Linked DNA regions of Macaca mulatta. Each later gene encodes a partner of the first gene's protein in a complex. Links are inferred from orthologs where the notes say so. Each region holds a gene or a part of one and is shown on either strand. Other genes may lie near its edges. The genes, in order: SIAH1, USP19 and CACYBP.

Evidence for each region.
Region 2: the proteins of SIAH1 (region 1) and USP19 are in contact, whole or in part, in a crystal structure (PDB 4X3G), measured with the Homo sapiens proteins. The link is inferred for Macaca mulatta from reciprocal best matches to the Homo sapiens genes SIAH1 and USP19. Residues at the interface, in NP_003022.3 of Homo sapiens: Cys130, Pro131, Thr156, Leu158, Gln159, Asp162, Ile163, Val164, Phe165, Leu166, Ala167, Thr168, Leu172, Val176, Asp177, Trp178, Val179, Met180, Asn276; in NP_006668.1 of Homo sapiens: Lys463, Pro464, Thr465, Cys466, Met467, Val468, Pro469, Pro470, Met471.
Region 3: the proteins of SIAH1 (region 1) and CACYBP are in contact, whole or in part, in a crystal structure (PDB 2A25), measured with the Homo sapiens proteins. The link is inferred for Macaca mulatta from reciprocal best matches to the Homo sapiens genes SIAH1 and CACYBP. Residues at the interface, in NP_003022.3 of Homo sapiens: Leu158, Gln159, Asp162, Ile163, Val164, Phe165, Leu166, Ala167, Thr168, Val176, Asp177, Trp178, Val179, Met180, Asn276; in NP_055227.1 of Homo sapiens: Lys59, Pro60, Ala61, Ala62, Val63, Val64, Ala65, Pro66, Ile67.

The regions. Positions count from the first base shown.
Region 1 is NC_133425.1:43,773,533-43,776,328, reverse strand, and holds the end of SIAH1 (E3 ubiquitin-protein ligase SIAH1), read left to right. Parts: intron 1-385; coding exon 386-1,236; coding exon of another isoform or gene 1,237-1,339; 3' UTR 1,340-2,295; downstream 2,296-2,796. Other genes in the region: LONP2 (lon protease homolog 2, peroxisomal), read right to left, coding at 1,220-1,339. UniProt on the Homo sapiens protein: E3 ubiquitin-protein ligase that mediates ubiquitination and subsequent proteasomal degradation of target proteins.
Region 2 is NC_133407.1:112,545,265-112,548,144, reverse strand, and holds the end of USP19 (ubiquitin carboxyl-terminal hydrolase 19), read left to right. Parts: coding exon 1-20; intron 21-106; coding exon 107-259; intron 260-365; coding exon 366-526; intron 527-607; coding exon 608-786; intron 787-1,786; coding exon 1,787-2,014; 3' UTR 2,015-2,298; downstream 2,299-2,880. UniProt on the Homo sapiens protein: Deubiquitinating enzyme that regulates the degradation of various proteins by removing ubiquitin moieties, thereby preventing their proteasomal degradation. Stabilizes RNF123, which promotes CDKN1B degradation and contributes to cell proliferation.
Region 3 is NC_133406.1:32,460,869-32,464,524, reverse strand, and holds part of CACYBP (calcyclin-binding protein), read right to left. Parts: intron 1,944-3,656; coding exon 1,724-1,943; intron 1-1,723. UniProt on the Homo sapiens protein: May be involved in calcium-dependent ubiquitination and subsequent proteasomal degradation of target proteins. Probably serves as a molecular bridge in ubiquitin E3 complexes. Participates in the ubiquitin-mediated degradation of beta-catenin (CTNNB1).

The DNA.
Region 1 (2,796 bases):
AGTCTCAGGGAGAGAGTCCTAGCAAAACGGATTCGATTAAACTTCAGTTCCTTGTATAGTTTCTCTAGTTGTTTATGGTCCATCTTCTATTTTAGCATTTATTATTCCATGTAGTCTATCCAAAGACGATTAAGGGAGTTCCAAATGTTTTCCGGAATATTTTGAAAAGAGAGCTTATCCAGTGTACAGATCCTAATAAAGTGCACATTCAGTGTAATTTTATTTTTTAGTATGTTACTTTTTAAATTCTATTTATTTTTCTTTCTCTTTTGCTCAGTAAATTTTGCATGAAACTTTAAAAGTACTTCTGGCATGTAAACATTATTTGTAAAATAAGTCATGGTTATAATTATTTTTCTCCTGCCTCCTTATGTATTTATTTCAGAAATGAGCCGTCAGACTGCTACAGCATTACCTACTGGTACCTCGAAGTGTCCACCATCCCAGAGGGTACCTGCCCTGACTGGCACAACTGCATCCAACAATGACTTGGCGAGTCTTTTTGAGTGTCCAGTCTGCTTTGACTATGTGTTACCACCCATTCTTCAATGTCAGAGTGGCCATCTTGTTTGTAGCAACTGTCGCCCAAAGCTCACATGTTGTCCAACTTGCCGGGGCCCTTTGGGATCCATTCGCAACTTGGCTATGGAGAAAGTGGCTAATTCAGTACTTTTCCCCTGTAAATATGCCTCTTCTGGATGTGAAATAACTCTGCCACACACAGAAAAAGCAGACCACGAAGAGCTCTGTGAGTTTAGGCCTTATTCCTGTCCGTGCCCTGGTGCTTCCTGTAAATGGCAAGGCTCTTTGGATGCTGTAATGCCCCATCTGATGCATCAGCATAAGTCCATTACAACCCTACAGGGAGAGGATATAGTTTTCCTTGCTACAGACATTAATCTTCCTGGTGCTGTTGACTGGGTGATGATGCAGTCCTGTTTTGGCTTTCACTTCATGTTAGTCTTGGAGAAACAGGAAAAATACGATGGTCACCAGCAGTTCTTTGCAATTGTACAGCTGATAGGAACACGCAAGCAAGCTGAAAATTTTGCTTACCGACTTGAGCTAAATGGTCACAGGCGACGATTGACTTGGGAAGCGACTCCTCGATCTATTCATGAAGGAATTGCAACAGCCATTATGAATAGCGACTGCCTAGTCTTTGACACCAGCATTGCACAGCTTTTTGCAGAAAATGGCAATTTAGGCATCAATGTAACTATTTCCATGTGTTGAAATGGCAATCAAACATTTTCTGGCCAGTGTTTAAAACTTCAGTTTCACAGAAAATAAGGCACCCATCTGCCTGCCAACCTAAAATTCTTTTGGTAGGTGGAAGCTAGACACATGAAGGTAAATGAAAGGAAAGGCTGTTAAATACAGGAAACAGTTGCATGTAGTAACACTAATATATTTAAAAATAAGTCAACAGTAAACCACTGAAAAAATATATGTATATACACCCAAGATGGGCATCTTTTGTATTAAGAAAGGAAGCATTGTAAAATAATTCTGAGTTTTGTGTTTGTTGTAGATTGATTGTATTGTTGAAAAATAGTTTTTTTGTTTTGTTTTTGCGTGGGAGTGTGTGCGTGCGTGGGTGTGTGCGTGTTTGGGTTTTTCTCCTTTAACTGACAAGCCATCTTGAGTGGTCATGGGCCACTGCTTTTCCCCTTTGTGAGTCAATACATAGTGCTGCTGTGTGCTTTTTTGTGTGTGTATTTGCTAATTTTTATTAATTTTAGTTTTTCATTAAATAAATTTGACTTTCCTTTCTGTAATTCAGGTTTTTCTTCACTTTTTTTGTACCATTTTAAAGTTAGTGTCTTTTGATATGCATACTTGTTATGGTAAAAGTTTGTAACATGTGTTCAATATTTTCTTTTCCCCCATTAATCAGTTCATTAGAAATATTTTAAAATCAGCTACTTTGTGAAGCTATGAGTTCCAGAAAGTAAAGGTGACATCGGAAAAATGATCAAAAGCTATTTAAAGCATCTGTAAGATGGTCTCTCTCTTTCTCTCTTCTACGGATGAGTCACACCTTTGAGCTTAATCTTTGAAAGGTTAGAGAATAAATTGATTTTTATAAGTACTGCAAATCAGGCTTTTGTTTCCTTTTTCAAATATCTTGGATAAATCACATGTTTAAAATTTGTTCTTGTATTTATTGGTTTTGCAAAAGAAGGCATCGTCATGCACAGTATTTGTAATTAAAAGCAAATCATTTGTTTAAAAAGGCAGTTTGCAAAAAAATGTTTTTGGTCTTTTATAATTCTCATTAAAAGAATTTCTGGCAAATTAAAAAAATCTTACTGTGTCTGCTTTAGCTCTAAGTTTGATAAAATCCAAAGTTATTTTCCTGTTTCATTCCGTACTTTAATTATATAGCAGAAAGCTGTGTGTTGTCATTTTTAAGTGTGGTAGAGTTATACTCTAAATCACAGCAAATAACTGGGTATATGGCTTCTGGATTACAGTCTTTCCCATGCTCTGCCCCTCTTGCCCACATTTTGATTCTTACAACTGTCAGGAGAATGACTAAAATGCTGACCACTTTTCACCTCTTTAAAAAAGCACAATGAAATAATAAATTTACTATTTCATAGCCTAGTGGTTAAGAGCCTTGGTTCTGCAGCCAGACTTCAGGCACCTAAGTGCCAGTCTCGGCTCTACCCCACTAACCAGCTGTGTGACCTTGGGCCCCAGTTTCCTAATGTGTAAAGTGGGGTTAAATTATGGTAGCTACTTAAAAAGTTTTAATGGGGTACAGGTATGTTACCTGAAACAGTGCTT
Region 2 (2,880 bases), on another chromosome or scaffold:
CTGGCACCCGAGGAGGCCTGGTGAGAACAGAGCAGCAAGCAGATAAGGGGGCAGGACGGAGAAGAGAGAGACTTGCTGGTCCTGACCCAACCTCTGTTCCCACCAGGTACTGCCCACAGTGCAAACAGCACCGTGAGGCCTCCAAGCAGCTGTTGCTATGGCGCCTGCCAAATGTTCTCATCGTGCAGCTCAAGCGCTTCTCCTTTCGTAGTTTTATCTGGCGTGACAAGATCAATGACTTGGTGGAGTTCCCTGTTCGGTAAGCAATGGACCTTGGTAACTGTGCGTGGGGTGTGAGGACCAAGGTGGGCATCCTGAGCACCTGCTGCCTGTCTCACCCCTCCCTGACTGGACCTGACCTGCAGGAACCTGGACCTGAGCAAGTTCTGCATTGGTCAGAAAGAGGAGCAGCTGCCCAGCTATGATCTGTATGCTGTCATCAACCACTATGGAGGCATGATTGGTGGCCACTACACTGCCTGTGCACGCCTGCCCAATGATCGTAGCAGTCAGCGCAGTGACGTGGGTGAGGGCACACACAGCCAGCAGGATAGATGGTAGGGGTGGTGGTGCAGACTTCGTTCACACTCTTCCCACCCTGCCGTAGGCTGGCGCTTGTTTGATGACAGCACGGTGACAACGGTAGACGAGAGCCAGGTTGTGACGCGTTATGCCTATGTACTCTTCTACCGCCGGCGGAACTCTCCTGTGGAGAGGCCCCCCAGGGCAGGTCACTCTGAGCACCACCCAGACCTAGGCCCTGCAGCTGAGGCTGCTGCCAGCCAGGTGAGGCATGTGGGCGGCTTTACAGAATAGTGGGGGACAGCTCACAGACTGCGGGGCAGGGTTGGGGATATAGCTTCCTCTCCTCCAGCCACAGGCTCCCTGAGCCTTGGGATTCATGAGAATTGCAGAGTTCCCTTAACATCAAAGCTTTATCCAGAGGCATCCCCATGCCCTGGGGACACTAACATACAGGTACACTAACATGATGCCACTGGCAAGCACATTGGCACCCAGTTGGCACAGGTCAGGCAACTGCTCTGAACCTCACTGGGCACTGTGCTATGAATGGACTATAACTGATACTCTCTAGATTTCCTCTGCACATTCCCCACATGCTAGCCCACACACCCTCACTTGTGATGTCCCTGAGTTCTATTGTGCACTCAAGACAAGGCCTATTTGGGCTGGCCATGGCTTCTGGTGGCTGTTATACTCTCTGAGGTAAGCATCTGTCTTTGCTGAGCCTTCAGGATCTTCTCTCTCTTTTAGTGACATTATGTGCCATAGGCCCAGTTGGTGGGCGTAGGCACATCTCTTTTCTGGACTGGCCGCCTCCTTTCTGGCTCCATCCTCTCTTAAGCCTTCTCTGTCAAGGATTAGAGAAGTCCCTGCAGAAGACTGGTCAGGATCTGGGGTGTGGGTGGGAAGGAACAAGGAGATTGCTCTGGGATTGGCGCCCTGTTTCCTATAAATCAGTGTCCTCTGGAGAGGCCTGGACTGAAATACTAACCAGATAACTCCCCTCCCACCTCCATGCGGAGCTGCACGTGGATTGAAAGCTGTTTAGGGTAGGCCAAAATGCTGTCAAGATTTACTTACACTTGTGCTCTTAGTCTGGACAACCCTGAGGTTGGCTGCCTGCCTTCCTCCTTGCTGCTTGATCTAGAATGCAGAGTGTTAGCCCCAGTCACCCCAGGTGGGACTATCATGGCTAAGGGTCTCAGGGACACTGGGTCCTCCCCATCCCTGGGGTGCTGATGGCCGTTTCCACATACCCTAGGCTTCCCGGATTTGGCAGGAGCTGGAGGCTGAGGAGGAGCCGGTGCCTGAGGGGCCTGGGCCCCTGGGTCCCTGGGGGCCCCAAGACTGGGTGGGCCCCCCGCCACGTGGCCCTACCACACCAGATGAGGGCTGCCTCCGGTACTTTGTCCTGGGCACCGTGGCGGCTTTGGTGGCCCTCGTGCTCAACGTGTTCTATCCTCTGGTATCCCAGAGTCGCTGGAGATGAGCTCGCCTGCAGGCAGCTGCTGTGAGCTGGCCTACCTGCCTGCCCCAGGCCATGCCTGCCTTTGTTGTGGGGAACACCTCTGGGCTTTGGGCCTCAGCTTGTGCATCTGGTGGGAGAGGATGGGGAGGCTGTGGCCCCTGCAGGGGCAGAGCATCGTAGGGTGTGTATCCATCCAGCTGTTTGTCCATTCATCCTGCTGCTCTGACCCTTGGCCTCGGGCTTGGCCTTGCCCAAGCTACTTCCTGTACTTAAAGTGTTAATAAAGCCAGACTATTCAGGCCCAATCTTGTCTCTCTGTCTGAACGCCGCTGCTGTCTGCGCCTGCCTTGGGACCCTCCCTTGGGTGCCAGGGCTCCAAGCCAGCACCCCCGGGATGCCAGGCGGCATGCTGGGCAGCCCCCAACCCCTGTCCTCGTATTCTGTTGCAGGGACTAGGCCCTGGCCAGGCCCCCGAGGTGGCCCCCACGCGGACAGCCCCTGAACGCTTCGCCCCCCCTGTGGATCGGCCAGCCCCCACCTACAGCAACATGGAGGAGGTGGATTAGCAGGTCCCTGGCTGATGGGGGGGACTGGGTTTGGGACACCCACCACAGAGGGCCAGCTCCTTGCCGCTTCTCCTTCTCTAACCCAGAGGACACTGGCTCTGTCAACGGGAAGCTGTGGGGTATGATTTGGGTGTGGCGACCTCTCAGGTTGGGACTTCTTGTTAGCTTGGACCCCTGACCAGTGGGCTTTGGCTTCTCTAGCCACCTCCAGTGCTGTGTGATTTGATTCTGTTGTACCTTCAATTCTTTCTGACCCGCATTATAAACATTATAATTTTATTCTAAAAATTGTAATTTTTTTTGCATTTTGGAAGTGATTGC
Region 3 (3,656 bases), on another chromosome or scaffold:
GGAGAATGGCGTGAACCCGGGAGGCGGAGCTTGCAGTGAGCTGAGATCCGGCCACTGCACTCCAGCCTGGGCTACAGAGCGAGACTCTGTCTCAAAAAAAAAAAAAAAGATTAGTTCATTTACTGCTTTTATGGAAACAATTTTGTCCTACATCTAAATATCGGTAGTTCTCCACTAAGCTGGATGGCTAAGTATCAATACTGTCTAATTCCATAACCATTTCTACTTCTCTAAGTAGTATAACAAATGGAATCCTAGCGCTCTTAATTCCTTTCCAGGGCAAAACAGAATGTAAACGACTCCAATTCTTCATCCAAATCTGACAAACCTACTGGTATCTATTAAATGCCATTTCAGTATGTATTATCAACCTACCAGCAAGTCTCTAACCTAGAAGAACTCTGTCAACATACAAGACATATACGCTTCACAAAATACCATCGTATTTGTAGAAAATAAAAAACTTCACAAAAAGCATCTTCTGTTTATCAAGAATATATACATACATATCCCTGACTCTTCCTCACTTAGTCCTACGGAATAGAAACATGCCCCATCCTCCATGACATGTTTTCACACTGCATGCCTGTATCAAAACATCTCATGTACCCCATAAATACATACACCTACTATGTACCCACGAAAATTAAAAAGAAACATAGTGTTGATCAAAAAAATGCCCTAGAGGGTTCCAGAGAACTTCATTTATTAATAGTTTCTTCCCAGTCAGTCCATCCTCCGGTTTGACAAGTTTCTCCCTCAACACAAATCTATGTTCCTGGTTAAAATGCCATAATCCTAAACACCTTCAGACCAGTTTCCCATACTCAACTGAGTACACGGTGCAATTTCATGTAGTACTATATAGTACATCACTTAAGCACGACATACACATGCTTTTCACTATAACAATACTCAAAATAGATCATGCCTTCCAAGTCTCTATTCATGTCCTCTGCTCATGCTGTTCCCTTCCTTTTGCTGAACGTACAGCTCACCCTTCACACTCATCTAATTCTCCCTGTTCCTCACCTCCAGAATTATTTCCTCAGCTATGTTACCTATTATGTGCTAGACATTATTAGCACAAAGAAAAACCAGACTGTCCTTGCTCCAATGAGAGCTCATCACTCTCACTGAAGTTGCACTGCCGCCAAAACAAAAACACTATATACACCACTGAAGGAAAACAGTATTAGTTTTTGCTAATACTGTTTTGCTAATACATTGTTATGCTATGAGTTATACGTCTATGTCCCAACCACACCATGAGAAAGGATTGGGTCTTAGTCACTGTTGTGTATCCGTAAGTCCAAGCACAATAGTGATATACATTAGGTGCTCAAAAATATTTCCTGAATTTAACTGGATTCCTCTCCTCAGTTAATTGTAGTGGTTGGCAGAGTGAAACATAAAACATGATTAAAAACCACCACCACCACCAAAGCGGTGCCTCATATATACTGAATAATTTCAGAATAAGTTCCTTCCTTGTTGCTACTCCTCATCTTTGTAGTAAATCACCTTATTCTTGTTAACAGCTTCTAGAATGTATCCTTTCCTATTTCTATCTAAAGAAAGTTTTATTAAATAAAAACTGATGGGTCTTCCTCCAAGCCACCGAAAACACAGCCTCAAAACTCATTTAAAGATGAATTTGTTAGATCACTATGAGGAATAGGTTGCTCGGAGGCAAAACTGGCCACAGGGAAGCAAGTCATACCATAATTACTGATTTTCACTGTATAGCCCGTTGTAATGGGAGCAACCACAGCAGCTGGTTTTTCATTATCAAGAAGTTCTGCTTTCTTCTGTGATTTCTGTTGCATCTTGTTCTTGATTTCTGTCTCAATCTTGGACTTTTCAGCTGTAAGGGCATCACGTACTCTTTTCCTAGTAGCCTTTTCCAGCAACACCTTTACCTCTTCTAGATCTTTCTGTAGCTGTGTTAAGACAAAAAATAAGTTAGCTATGATCAATAAGGAAATAGCTTGATATTGTGCTTATCACTCATTTCAACTTACTGAAATAAGCACTAAAAATTAAGAGGTTCATCTAAATTTTCTAGGATTGAGTTGCAACTTCAGTTCTTCCCTCCAGCTTATTAACTGTAATTAACTCAAGCTTCCTTTTTTTCCCAAAAGGAAAACTTTGAACAATCTTGAACAAACAATAAATAAGGTAATCAAACCCAAATTTTCCAGTTTATATTTGCTTTAAAATATTTACAAGAAACATCTGCGATTTAAACAGTAAAACAAAGACTTTTTTTTGACAAGGGATTCAGAGATTTCCTTTAACATCTAATCCGAGTGTCATCAGATGTTAGACACTTTTAAAAATTTAAGAGATGAGAGAACACACAGTGACCATGGTAAAATGCTACACAGCAAACTTTACTGAGGTAATGAATGCTCCATTTTCTGTCACTGATTGGTCTTCACTGATCTTCCCACCTCAAATACCTCAAATAAAGAGAGTCCGAATTTTTAAGACAAAATATTAAAAAAAAAAAAAAAAAAATTCTGCTTTTGAGAAAAAGTCTTGCTCTGAAGCTGGGTCAGTCTTACAGTTAGAAGTGTAGGAGTTGGTTGCATAGAAGGTGACAAAAGACCCAAAATGCAACATACTCTTGGAAATTATCTTTTGAAAAAGCCACCACGTTCTCATTTTCTTCTCATGCCAATCCATCATCTATTAAAGTCTACTTCTTTTTACTTTCGAGAGATAGAGGCAACATTTTATGAAATTCAAGAGTTAAAGACAATGTTAGAAAATTATTGAGCCTAAGTCTTTTTCCCCCAATTACCCTCTGACATACTGCAAATACACAAGATCTTTCCAAACAGCTGTTTCACTTCTTACAGTAACTTTACACTCTAGCTTGATACTAGCAACTTGACCAAAAAAATCTTGTGTCACAGCTTGATTATATCAAAAGCTCAATTTAAAAGTCTTTTAGTGCTTTATAACTCAGAATATCAGACGCACAACAGCGTTTGAAAGCCTTTGTTTCTTAATAGTCTTATAAAATGCAATAACAGAACTAATTCTTTTCTTTTACTACTAGTCTTTTATTATCTCATTTAACTCAGATGCCCTAGTTTTGCCTATCTACAACAGATGACATGGTATAAAAAGTTCAACTCTCGCCGGGTGCAGTGGCTCACACCTGTAGTCCCTGCACTTTGGGAGGCCAAACGGGTGGATCACTTGAAGTTAGGGGTTCGAGACCAACCTGACCAACATGGCGAAAGCCCGTCTCTACTTAAAATTCAAAAATTAGGCGGCCATGGTGGCATGTGCCTGTAATCCCAGATACTCAGGAAGCTGAGGCAGGAGAATTGCTTGAACCCGGGAGGCAGAGGTTGCGGTGACCCGAGATCGCGCCATTGCACTCCAGCCTGGGCAACAAGAGCAAAACTCAGTATCAAAAAAAAAAAAGTTCAACTCTGCCCAACCCTCTTGTCCACACTCTCCCCTTCCAAGAACAGCTCATAATACTATGACAAAAACTCTTGCAAACTCGTCTTTTGAGCATAGAACCAAGATGTTTCCGTTCAAAATAATACATTTTAATGGTTTCAAAAAAAAAAACGCTGATTCTACAACTCCTAATTCATAAAATATTGAAATGTAAAATGAAATATAGTAAG